Ovis aries: one gene and its partners. The protein of the gene in region 1 purifies or fractionates together with the protein of each later gene. This does not show direct contact. Links are inferred from orthologs where the notes say so. Each region holds a gene or a part of one and is shown in the gene's direction. Other genes may lie near its edges.

Evidence for each region.
Region 2: the proteins of MECP2 (region 1) and HDAC1 purify together in Homo sapiens (affinity purification with western blotting; 4 studies listed by BioGRID, with this or other methods). This does not show direct contact. The link is inferred for Ovis aries from reciprocal best matches to the Homo sapiens genes MECP2 and HDAC1.
Region 3: the proteins of MECP2 (region 1) and TBL1XR1 purify together in Homo sapiens (co-immunoprecipitation; 3 studies listed by BioGRID and IntAct, with this or other methods). This does not show direct contact. The link is inferred for Ovis aries from reciprocal best matches to the Homo sapiens genes MECP2 and TBL1XR1.

The regions. Positions count from the first base shown.
Region 1 is NC_056080.1:80,267,497-80,270,996, forward strand, and holds part of MECP2 (methyl-CpG-binding protein 2), read left to right. Parts: intron 1-703; coding exon 704-1,787; 3' UTR 1,788-3,500. UniProt on the Homo sapiens protein: Chromosomal protein that binds to methylated DNA. It can bind specifically to a single methyl-CpG pair. It is not influenced by sequences flanking the methyl-CpGs.
Region 2 is NC_056055.1:235,235,998-235,239,497, reverse strand, and holds part of HDAC1 (histone deacetylase 1), read left to right. Parts: intron 1-925; coding exon 926-1,000; intron 1,001-2,699; coding exon 2,700-2,838; intron 2,839-3,295; coding exon 3,296-3,437; intron 3,438-3,500. UniProt on the Homo sapiens protein: Histone deacetylase that catalyzes the deacetylation of lysine residues on the N-terminal part of the core histones (H2A, H2B, H3 and H4).
Region 3 is NC_056054.1:210,745,044-210,748,543, forward strand, and holds part of TBL1XR1 (F-box-like/WD repeat-containing protein TBL1XR1), read left to right. Parts: intron 1-16; coding exon 17-149; intron 150-502; coding exon 503-644; intron 645-3,306; coding exon 3,307-3,370; intron 3,371-3,463; coding exon 3,464-3,500. UniProt on the Homo sapiens protein: F-box-like protein involved in the recruitment of the ubiquitin/19S proteasome complex to nuclear receptor-regulated transcription units. Plays an essential role in transcription activation mediated by nuclear receptors.

The DNA.
Region 1 (3,500 bases):
TACTTCATGAGCCCTGAGAAATACAAATTCACAGGGTTCAGTCTGTTGCGTGAGGCGTGCTGGTAAAGGGGGGCTGTCTGATACAGCCTAGAGAGAGCCCCAGATGGGCTCGGAGTACCTTTCCCACTGTCCCTCTGGCCTTTGTCCAGCTGTGGGCTGGTGGTTGGGTGTTACCTGTTGAAACAGAGTCACTTCCTAGCCAGATATTTAGAGGACAAGTGTGACTACGTTCATTTCACTTGTCCCCCTTAAATGACTCCAGACAGGTTAGCCATTTTGGAATTCACTCGTACAGTCTCATTTAATTCCAGTAACTCAGATAAAGCATCATCCTACTGGCGAATGAGGAAACTGATTCCTGGAGAGTTCAGTCTGGCAGGTAGACAGGGTCCCCGGGCCAGACCCCTTTGGGGGGCTGAGGAGTGCAACTCCCGGGGGCATCCATGTAGCAGCAGGCCACGTGGGCACCTATGGCCATCAGGCGACCCGATTGCTTCCTGTATAAATGGGACCATAGCTCCCTAATTTTAGCTCATCTCAGCTTCTCTTAAATGTCCCTCTTGGTGAGCTGTATCATCGGGCATGTCAGTTGCAGAACATCTCCTGTCAGAGGGCTCACCATCCACCTTCTCCTGTGCCCCACCTCCAGCATTGCTCTGGAAGCTTCTAACCTTTCTTTGTGTGTCTCCGCTTGTTCCCACAGTCCCCAGGGAAAAGCCTTTCGCTCTAAAGTGGAGTTGATTGCGTACTTCGAAAAGGTAGGCGACACCTCCCTGGACCCTAATGATTTTGACTTCACGGTAACCGGGAGAGGGAGCCCCTCCCGGCGAGAACAGAAACCACCTAAGAAGCCCAAATCTCCCAAAGCTCCAGGAACTGGCAGAGGTCGGGGACGCCCTAAAGGGAGTGGCACCACGAGACCCAAGGCAGCCGCGTCAGAGGGTGTGCAGGTGAAAAGGGTTCTGGAGAAAAGTCCTGGAAAGCTGCTCGTCAAGATGCCTTTCCAAGCTGCGCCGGGCAGCAAGGCAGAAGGGGGTGGGGCCACCACCTCGGCCCAGGTTATGGTCATCAAGCGCCCCGGCCGGAAGCGAAAAGCGGAGGCCGACCCCCAGGCCATTCCCAAGAAACGAGGCCGAAAGCCAGGCAGTGTGGTTGCTGCAGCTGCCGCCGAGGCCAAAAAGAAAGCCGTGAAGGAGTCGTCTATCCGGTCCGTGCAGGAGACCGTGCTCCCCATCAAGAAGCGCAAGACCCGGGAGACGGTGAGCATTGAGGTGAAGGAGGTGGTGAAGCCCCTGCTGGTGTCCACGCTTGGCGAGAAGAGCGGGAAGGGACTGAAGACCTGCAAGAGCCCAGGGCGGAAAAGCAAGGAGAGCAGCCCCAAGGGGCGCAGCGGCAGCGCCTCCTCGCCACCCAAAAAGGAGCACCACCACCACCACCATCACGTGGAGCCCCCAAAGGCCCCCGCGCCTCTGCTCCTGCCCCCGCCCCCACCCCCGCCTGAGCCCCAGAGCTCCGAGGACCCTGCCAGCCCCCCTGAGCCCCAGGACTTGAGCAGCAGCGTCTGCAAAGAGGAGAAGATGCCGAGAGCAGGCTCGCTGGAGAGCGATGGCTGCCCCAAGGAGCCTGCTAAGACTCAGCCCGCGCTCGCCACCGCGGCCCCGGCCACAGAAAAGTACAAACACCGAGGGGAGGGAGAGCGCAAAGACATTGTCTCATCCTCCATGCCAAGGCCAAACAGAGAGGAGCCTGTGGACAGCCGGACGCCCGTGACCGAGAGAGTTAGCTGACTTTACGCAGAGCGGATTGCAAAGCAAACCAACAAGAATAAAGGCAGCTGTTGTCTCTTCTCCTTATGGGTAGGGCTCTGACAAAGCTTCCCGATTAACTGAAATAAAAAATATTTTTTTTTCTTTCAGTAAACTTAGAGTTTCGTGGCTTCAGGGTGGGAGTAGTTGGAGCATTGGGGGTGTTTTTTTCTTATCGACAAGCACAGTCAGGTTGAAGACCTAACCAGGGCCAGAAGTAGCTTTGCACTTTTCTAAACTAGGCTCCTTCAACAAGGCTTGCTGCAGATACTACTGACCAGACAAGCTGTTGCCCAGGCTTCTTAGGGTGTGCCTGCACCTCCCTCCCACCCAGTCCCCCTACGTGGTCACTAGGGACAGAGAGCACTTGAGAAGACACTCCTGGTTTGGGGGCCATCGCTACCCCAGTCTCAGCTCTCCTCTCCCCCCACACCCTGCCCAGCCTTGAGCTCCACCACCCCACCCTCCAGCCCCCCTTATGCCCACCCACGTCGGGACCAGGAGGTCCAGGGCAAAAGAGACAGTTGGATCCTTTCGAGACGGTGGAGACGGCCAGTGGCTCCAGCCCGTGTGATCCCACCCATGGGGGTACACAGACGGCTCCCCACCAGCCCCAATCCCAAATCGACCAGGACATTTCACAGGATGGGGACATAGCACCTGTCGGCCCCGGTTCTGGCCCAGCTAGGAGGGAGGCATCCTTTGAGCCCCCCTGGGTGTCGACTGGCCTGCGCCAGAGGCGACATTGGCCCAGGGCTGGCCTCCAGCGGGTAGCGCTAGACAGAGGCCACCAAGGCCACGTGCCGAGGCCCCAGCAGGCTGGCCCAGGCTACAGCTGGCGGAGTGCCACAGGCCAGGTAGAAGGCATCCCTAGCTGCTCAGAGCAGTTGTGGCCGCTAGTTCGAGCCTTAGTAGACAGGGCCAGGGGCCAGGGGGAAGGCAGGGGAAATGTTCTTCCAAAACTTTTCCAATTCTCAACTCCTTTAGGGACAGCTTAGAACTATTTGCACTATTGAGTCTTCATGTTCCCACTTCAAAACAAACCTGCTTTGCGAGCAAGCTAGCGGGCTTGACTTGGTGACCCTTTGTCCCTCAGGCCACTAGACGTGACAGTGTTGACAACTACCTGGATCTGTATATACCTGCGCTTGTTTTCAAGTGGGCTCAGCACATAGGGTTCCCACGAAGCTCCGAAACTCTAAGTGTTTGCTGCAATTTATAAGGACTTCCTGATTGGTTTCTCTCCTCTCCTTTGGTTTCTGTCTCCTTTCATTTCAGCCTTTTTATTTCTCCCCTTCCTCCCTCGTCCTCACTGCTCCCTTCTGTTCCAGGCAGCCTCAGTGCCCAACCGTACTTTGAGCCGACGCTGGTCAGCTCAGGCCCCCAGAACTACCCCCACCCTTGGCCTTCCCGCCGTCCACCCCAGCCTCCCCTGCCACCCATTTCTGAGCCCTGAGGAAGCCCCAGACTCCGCTGAATCCACCCAGCCCTAGTACCCCAGCCTCTCTGAGGGGCATGGGAGAGGCAGGATCTTGCTCTCCCAGGAGTCCCCTCCTTCAGTCAGACCCTGGATCCCAGGTCTCCTCAGCCTTCCCACTCAACGGCAGTGGGTAGGAGAAGTGGACCCAGATTGGGATTGCAGAGCCAAGGGCAGCACAGAGACCCACTGTGGCCTGCCAGCATCACGGAGTGGCC
Region 2 (3,500 bases), on another chromosome or scaffold:
TATTTGCATTACTGTTTGCATGTGTTTCCACATTATGTGTTAGTTTGTACTTTTACCCTTTTAGGCCTGAAATAACTTTCCTCCAATTGTCACTTGTTGTAGTAGAAAGAGCACTGAACTGTGGGAGTCAAGACACCTGGACTCTGGTTCTACCACTCACTGCTTGGTTATATAGCCTTGGGCAAGTCAGTTAACTTCACATCTGCACTGTTCCTCTGCACAGTGGGGTTGATATTGGTCCTGTCCATCTTTTATGGAGTTGTTAGGCAGATTCGAGATTATGTATGTGAAATTACTGGGGAAAAGACCAGAGTACATTTTCGTGGGCTTTTAGGACGGACAGACCAATCCTTGAATACTGCCTCTGCCATTTACTGGCAGTTACCTCTTTGAGCCTGTTTCCCCACTTATAAAACAGGACCAAAAAAAAAAACAGGACCAAATCCTACCTCAGAAAGTTGTGTGAGCATAGATGACACCAAGTATTTAAAGCACTTAGCATGGTGACCAGCATGTTGTTAAGCATCAATGGAGGATAGTATAGCCCTCTGTTCTTTGCTTGCTTGTTGACCCGCTGGAGTAAGATCCAGGAACAAACCCAGGCTGGAATAAGAGGCCAAATTTTTCTCCCTCAGGAGTGAAACAACATTTTCTGAGTACTTACTTGCTGAATGCTTCCCCATGTATGGTTTCTATTAATCTTCTCAAGAATTAGGTGAGGTGGATATCATTGTTGCTTGTTAAAGATAATGAGCCAAAGCTCAAGGAAATTAAATGACTAGACCCAGTCCCACAGTCAGTAAGCAGGAGGGCCTGGGCAAGAACCTTCTGAATCCAAATGCTGTGTTTTTTCCATCAGCTCATAAATAATGTAAACAAAACCAAAAGGAAATTGTGGAAACTAACCTTTTCGTGTTTTTTCAAGTCAACGTCGGTGAGGACTGTCCGGTATTTGATGGCCTGTTTGAGTTCTGTCAGCTGTCTACTGGTGGCTCTGTGGGTAAGGAATATACCCTTCATAAGGGCTATTCTGGGCTGTACCAATGAGGTCTGTCTTTTAGGCCACTGTCCTAGTGAGGCTGACCTGTGACCATGTAAAATGGTCCTGGGTGGGTTTTTATGTTAGGTCCTTAAAATGTTATTCTGCTTCAGTCTGAGGCCAGGTTCAATCTGACATAGTATAGATATGTGTCCTAGCCTGTCCTTTCCTACTAAGACATCCTGTATACAGGAACTCCCTGCAGACCTCATGGGGTTGTTGAGATGCTGAACATAAAAGTAATTTGTGAACTGCAAAGTGCTGTAAAAATAGGAAGTGTCATCATCTGTGTCTTACAAAAGAGCATGGTAATTACATTTAGAGGTCAGAAACACTTCCCGCGTATCTCCCACTTCCATTAATATCTATGTTATCTCTGGGATCACTCTACCATTTCTTAACAAATATTTATTTTTCTGTGATCATTGTTTTTTCTCCTTGCCTCTCCCTACCACCTCACAATATAATCTCAGAAAACAAAGAAGTATACAGAGGAAAAAAACTGACTGCAATCACACTGTCATGGATAACCGTCATCACCATTTTGGTGTTTGTACATCCATGCTTTTTTCTTTGTGCACGTATCCAGACAAAACGTATACTCATCTATATTTTACAAAAATGTGTATGTATAGTTTTGTGCCTCCCTACTACATTTTTTACTTAGTAAATCTTTTTTTTTTTTTTTTTCCGGTCATGCCATGTGGCTTGCAGTATCTTAGTTCCTGAACTAGGGATTAAACCTGGGCCCGTGGCAGTGAAAGTGTGGAGTCTAACCACTGAGCTGCCAGGGAAGTCCCTACTTAGTAAATCTTTGAAATTTAGCTGTAATAAGGTTTAGCATGGTATCTAGTGGCTACATGATTATTCTATGTTATGGACCAACCTCAGTTGATATAATTAGTCCACTCAAGTTGCTCTGTGTTGGTGTTTTTTTGGTTTTTGTTTTTTCTACACCATGCAGCTTGAAGGATCTATCTTAGTTCCCTGGCCAGGGACTGAACTTGAGCCCTTGGCAGTGGAAGCATGGAGTCCTAACCACTGCACTGCCAGGGGATCCCTCATGTTCTTATCGCTCTTAAAGTCATACTGCCGCAAAGGCATTTGCACACATGGTGTGTATTTTTCTCGCACTTCTTCTTGGGCCTATTTGTACTTCAAGCCTCTGTCTGCTACATTTGGTATCTTCAAAATATTTTGACCATGAACCACAGTAAGAAATACATTTACACTTAAAATCCTGGTTATGGACACACTCGCACACACACATCCTCTCTTGCTCTGCAGCTAGTTTCACAAAAGAGTGGTTACCTTTACTGTTAACTCTGCTATTTTTATTCTATAGTCTATCTCATTAAAAAAAAAAAAAAAAATATATATATATATATATATATATACACACTAACCATAGCCCACTAAACCAATTTTAAGGCCTATTAGTGAGTTTTACCACTTTCAGTTTGGAAAACAGGTTTTCTAGAGTAGCCAATGTTGTGTTTATTCCCATTGGAGTAGACAGAGGGAGAGGGCTAGCTGGTGAATTGTACAGTTCACCTGTTAAATAGGCAGGTCCTATCTCTCACTGGGTTCCCATGGTTTTTTGGGGAAAGGAGAGAGAGGGACTTTGTGACAGGCTTGTGTTCTTTCTTCCGGTGCCCAGCAAGTGCCGTGAAACTTAATAAGCAGCAGACGGACATCGCTGTGAATTGGGCTGGGGGCCTACACCATGCAAAGAAGTCCGAGGCATCTGGCTTCTGTTACGTCAATGATATCGTCTTGGCCATCCTGGAACTGCTAAAGTATGCCTGCCTGGCCTTGTCTCGGAGGAGCACCTTAGGCCAGGTCCCCACTCCCTCTCCCCCGGGCTTGCCTCCCTAGTTTGCCTTTCCTAGCGGCGTGCCGGCTAGGATGTGTTTGGTGAGTGTCTCTGGCCATCCTCTCCTTGACGAGGCCTTGATTGGATCTGAGCCCACGGCAAGATCAGGGGCAGGTGCTGCTCAGATCCTGCCTCCAGAATGTCCCTGTGTGGCTGGAGTTGACCCTGGCTGTAGAGTAGGAAGATCGGACTTGGTCGGCTTGGTCAGGCCTCTGGAGACACCCTGCCGCTCTTCCACCTTCCTTCAGCCAGTTTCCACGTCTCTGGTGCTTAGAGATACCTGAGGGAGGCAGCCAGCCCGGTAAGCTGGGCCCTGGCGCCCTTGGCGCGTCCCATTCCCAAAGAGCCCCCAGAACCCCCTGACCCCCTTCTGATCCTAGGTATCACCAGAGGGTGCTGTATATTGACATTGATATTCACCACGGCGATGGCGTGGAAGAGGCCTTCTATACCACAGACCGAGTCATGACTGTGTCCTTTCATAAATATGGAGAGTACTTCCCAGGAACTGGGGACCTACGGGTGAGAACTCCCTTCAGGGGCCAGCCAGCTCACCCTCAGCTGCCAGCTCTAACTCTCCTGTCT
Region 3 (3,500 bases), on another chromosome or scaffold:
ATTTCTCATGATGCAGATAATCATACTGATATGATGGAAGTGGATGGGGATGTTGAAATCCCTCCTAATAAAGCAGTTGTGTTACGGGGCCACGAATCTGAAGTTTTCATCTGTGCCTGGAACCCCGTTAGCGATCTCTTGGCATCAGGGTATGTTTCTCAAAGTAAAATTAAAATGGATTTCTAAAAGTATCTTACTGAAATATTGCGTGTTCTACAAATATATTGCTTACACTTTCCGGTTTTTGTTGTTGCTTGTTTGTGGTCATTTTGCCCTGTAAATCTTTATTTCTTCATGTAGTAATGTTAGAGTTTTTAAATTACTCCCTCAGGAGTGATTTCGGCATCCCCAAAATGGAGACTGAGAAAAATACTGGAAATGGAAACGCCTGATAGTCTGATTTGTGTTTGCCTCATTAATAATAGGATGTAAATCTGTTGCCTTGATTTCTGTAATGCTTGAGAATGTCATGAAAATTTAAAATATGTTGTATACCTTATAGGTCTGGAGACTCAACAGCAAGAATATGGAACCTTAGTGAAAACAGCACGAGTGGCTCCACACAGTTAGTTCTTAGACATTGTATACGAGAAGGAGGGCAAGATGTCCCAAGCAACAAGGATGTGACATCACTAGATTGGAATGTGAGTATCGCTGTGCTGTCCATGGTGGATGTAGTTAGTAACACGCTTAACTTCCCTGAGCCTCAAACTAGTGGCAGGGCATGTCTGTTTGTTCAGGTATTTTTGAATTTCACTAGTAAGAACAGTAGACTAGGAGTCCCTAACCCAAAATGTGTTAAAAGCAAAGACAGGGCAAGGTTCATCTTCTAGCCTCTCAGTTTATCTAGATATAGAATCCTTGCATAACTGGTGGTCCATCACTCTGTACTTCATTCTCATCACATATAAAGTAGGAGTGTATTAATGGTCTTACATAAATCAAATAGTAAATGAAAACCAATAATAGACACGTACTAAGTTCTCAGTGGGCTTCCCTGATAGCTCAGTTGGTAAAGCCTGAAATGCAGGAGACCCTAGTTCGATTCCTGCGTCAGGAAGATGCCCTGGAGAAGGGAAAGGCTACCTAATTCCAGTATTAATTAAGTTCTTAACTACTAAGTCCTTTGTTAGGGGTACAAGAGAAATCTATGTAATAGAAACATAGTCTTGTTTCTCTCATTTTGCTGTTAATTGATGAAAACTTCATTGCCAGCTCTTTTTAGGAACCGTTAGTCTAAATTACAAGCTTTACTCTAGCTGTAGGACTCTTGAGAATTCTCTTATTCTATATATGATTCAATATCTTTGATTACTTTTACTTACTAGAAAATTTGATTTCACTATTGATAAAGCTTCATCCTTTCAGTTTCAAATATATAATTAACAGCTTTCTTTGCTACCATTCCCACAAGTAATTTGCGGAAAATTAGCATTTTAAAAGTTTCTGTATCTTTTCCTTTATTCCATGTTGTCTTTTTTCTTCCTTGTAACTTTATGTTCATTTTTTTAATACCCTCCCACTCCCCCAACTCTGGTTCTAGTAACTTCTTAGACTGTGTCAGTGTTATAAAGAATTTTAGAGGTCAGCTGTCCTTTCCTTAGCAAGTGGACATCCTTTCCTTCTCTGGCCTCTGTTTTAACAACATTTTGTGGGGCTTTTCAAAGTATCTTCTAAATCTCTTTCCAAGAAATAAGATCTGTCTTTCAAAGTGATTACACTATCTGAAGTTCTTAGTTTCTATGAAATTCTTCCAGAACTCATAGTAAGGCTTATTAGTGTTCTTTTCTGAATTTCCAACAATGTATTTACCCTTTCCCACGTATAAAGTTGAGAATTCTCAACAGTGTTATTTGATTGTAGGGTCAGAACTAAGAATTCCGTTCTTAAAATGGGACCTTACTATATCATAGGCCAAAGGCCTTATACCCTTCTTAGGCTGTTTGGCTCAGAGACCATGTTAATTAAAGTTTACACTGAAAAGGATGGTTAACAAATGATTTGTTGAGTTCGGTGTTTCTGAACTGCAAGTTAAAGCTTTTAAAAGTATAGACTTTTGGAAGATTTATTATTTGCTATGAACTTAAGTCTTCCCCTAGAAAGAGAAAATGTTATTGTTGTTTAATGGCTCATTTCCATGGCTAAAGCAGAAGCCTGTGAGATAGCTGCTCCTAATTATTCTCCTACTTTACTAGTGGTCCATGGTCTAAAACCATTAGTTTAAAGGAAACTTTGCATTGTGCAGTTTGGAAATGAACTTGTGCTATTAGCTTCAACATTGCTCCTTGTTCCTTAGAACTATAGGGGATTTCCAAATCCTAGCAGAACTGAATCTGCATCGCCTACAACCAGCATTTGTTTGTCACTTAACTGTACAGCTAGATGACTGGAGAGGTCTGAAAAGGTGATCTTCCTTTCACATCTCTTGCCAAAAAAAGCATCAGCAAGGCAGGATTTCATTCTGTCTTTCCTGTAATGTTTACTCATCTCAGCAATAGTCTGTGTAATGTACTCTGAAACTTGGATTTCCACAGAATAAGTTGGATCTTAGCAAGTCCTGCCATTGGACCATTATTCAAGGCAAGGCACCATAGGAAATTTTAAGGTTAGAGAAAACGTTAAGGATTACTCCTCAGAGTAGAGTAGTTCTGGACAGTTGTACTCACTTCATTAGCTATAAAGTCAGCCTACACTCTCTTCTAACTCTTGTTTTTGTGTGTGCATTGCTATTTTTATTGGTACAGGAAAAAATTAACAAAAGAAAGATGTTTAATGTAGTGATATTTAAGAATCTGATCATCTGAAACTATTATTTGGAACACACACAGTTTAGACAGTAAAAGATTTAGAGGGAGGACAATATGAGAACTTCTAACCTTAATGAAACATTTTGGAAGATTTTGATTTTTATTGAATACCTTTATTAAATCATAAGATTAAGATTTTGATGTCCTTTCTAATCCCCCACCTGACCCCCACCTTTAGTCCTAGGCCTTTGTGAGAGTACAGTAAGTAGACCTCAGCCCCTGTAAGAGCGGTGATAATCTTGCTCCCAAGCAGTTACTGCCCTTCCAGGACTGGGGTGTGAGGCCTGCGCCCTGACTGAATGCTGCCAAAATACTAGCTTCACAGCATGAAGGGTGTTCTGGAGGCCTTTTCTCGAACTTTCAAATAGGCAAAGCTGAAGGTCTTGAAGCAGAGAATGTCACAGACCTGCTGTACTTGGGATTAAACATAATATATTCTAATAAAATTTAAATACCCTTTTTGGGTTATATAATTGAAAGAAATGTGTTTCTCCAACAGAGTGAAGGTACACTTCTAGCAACTGGTTCTTATGATGGGTTTGCCAGAATATGGACTAAAGATGGTAAATAAAGCATTTTTTTCCCCACTTGTTTTTACTGTTGATCCAAATTATAAAGCTTAAAGTAATTTTAATGTTTTTCCTTTTGAATTTTAGGTAACCTTGCTAGCACTTTGGGGCAGCATAAAGGCCC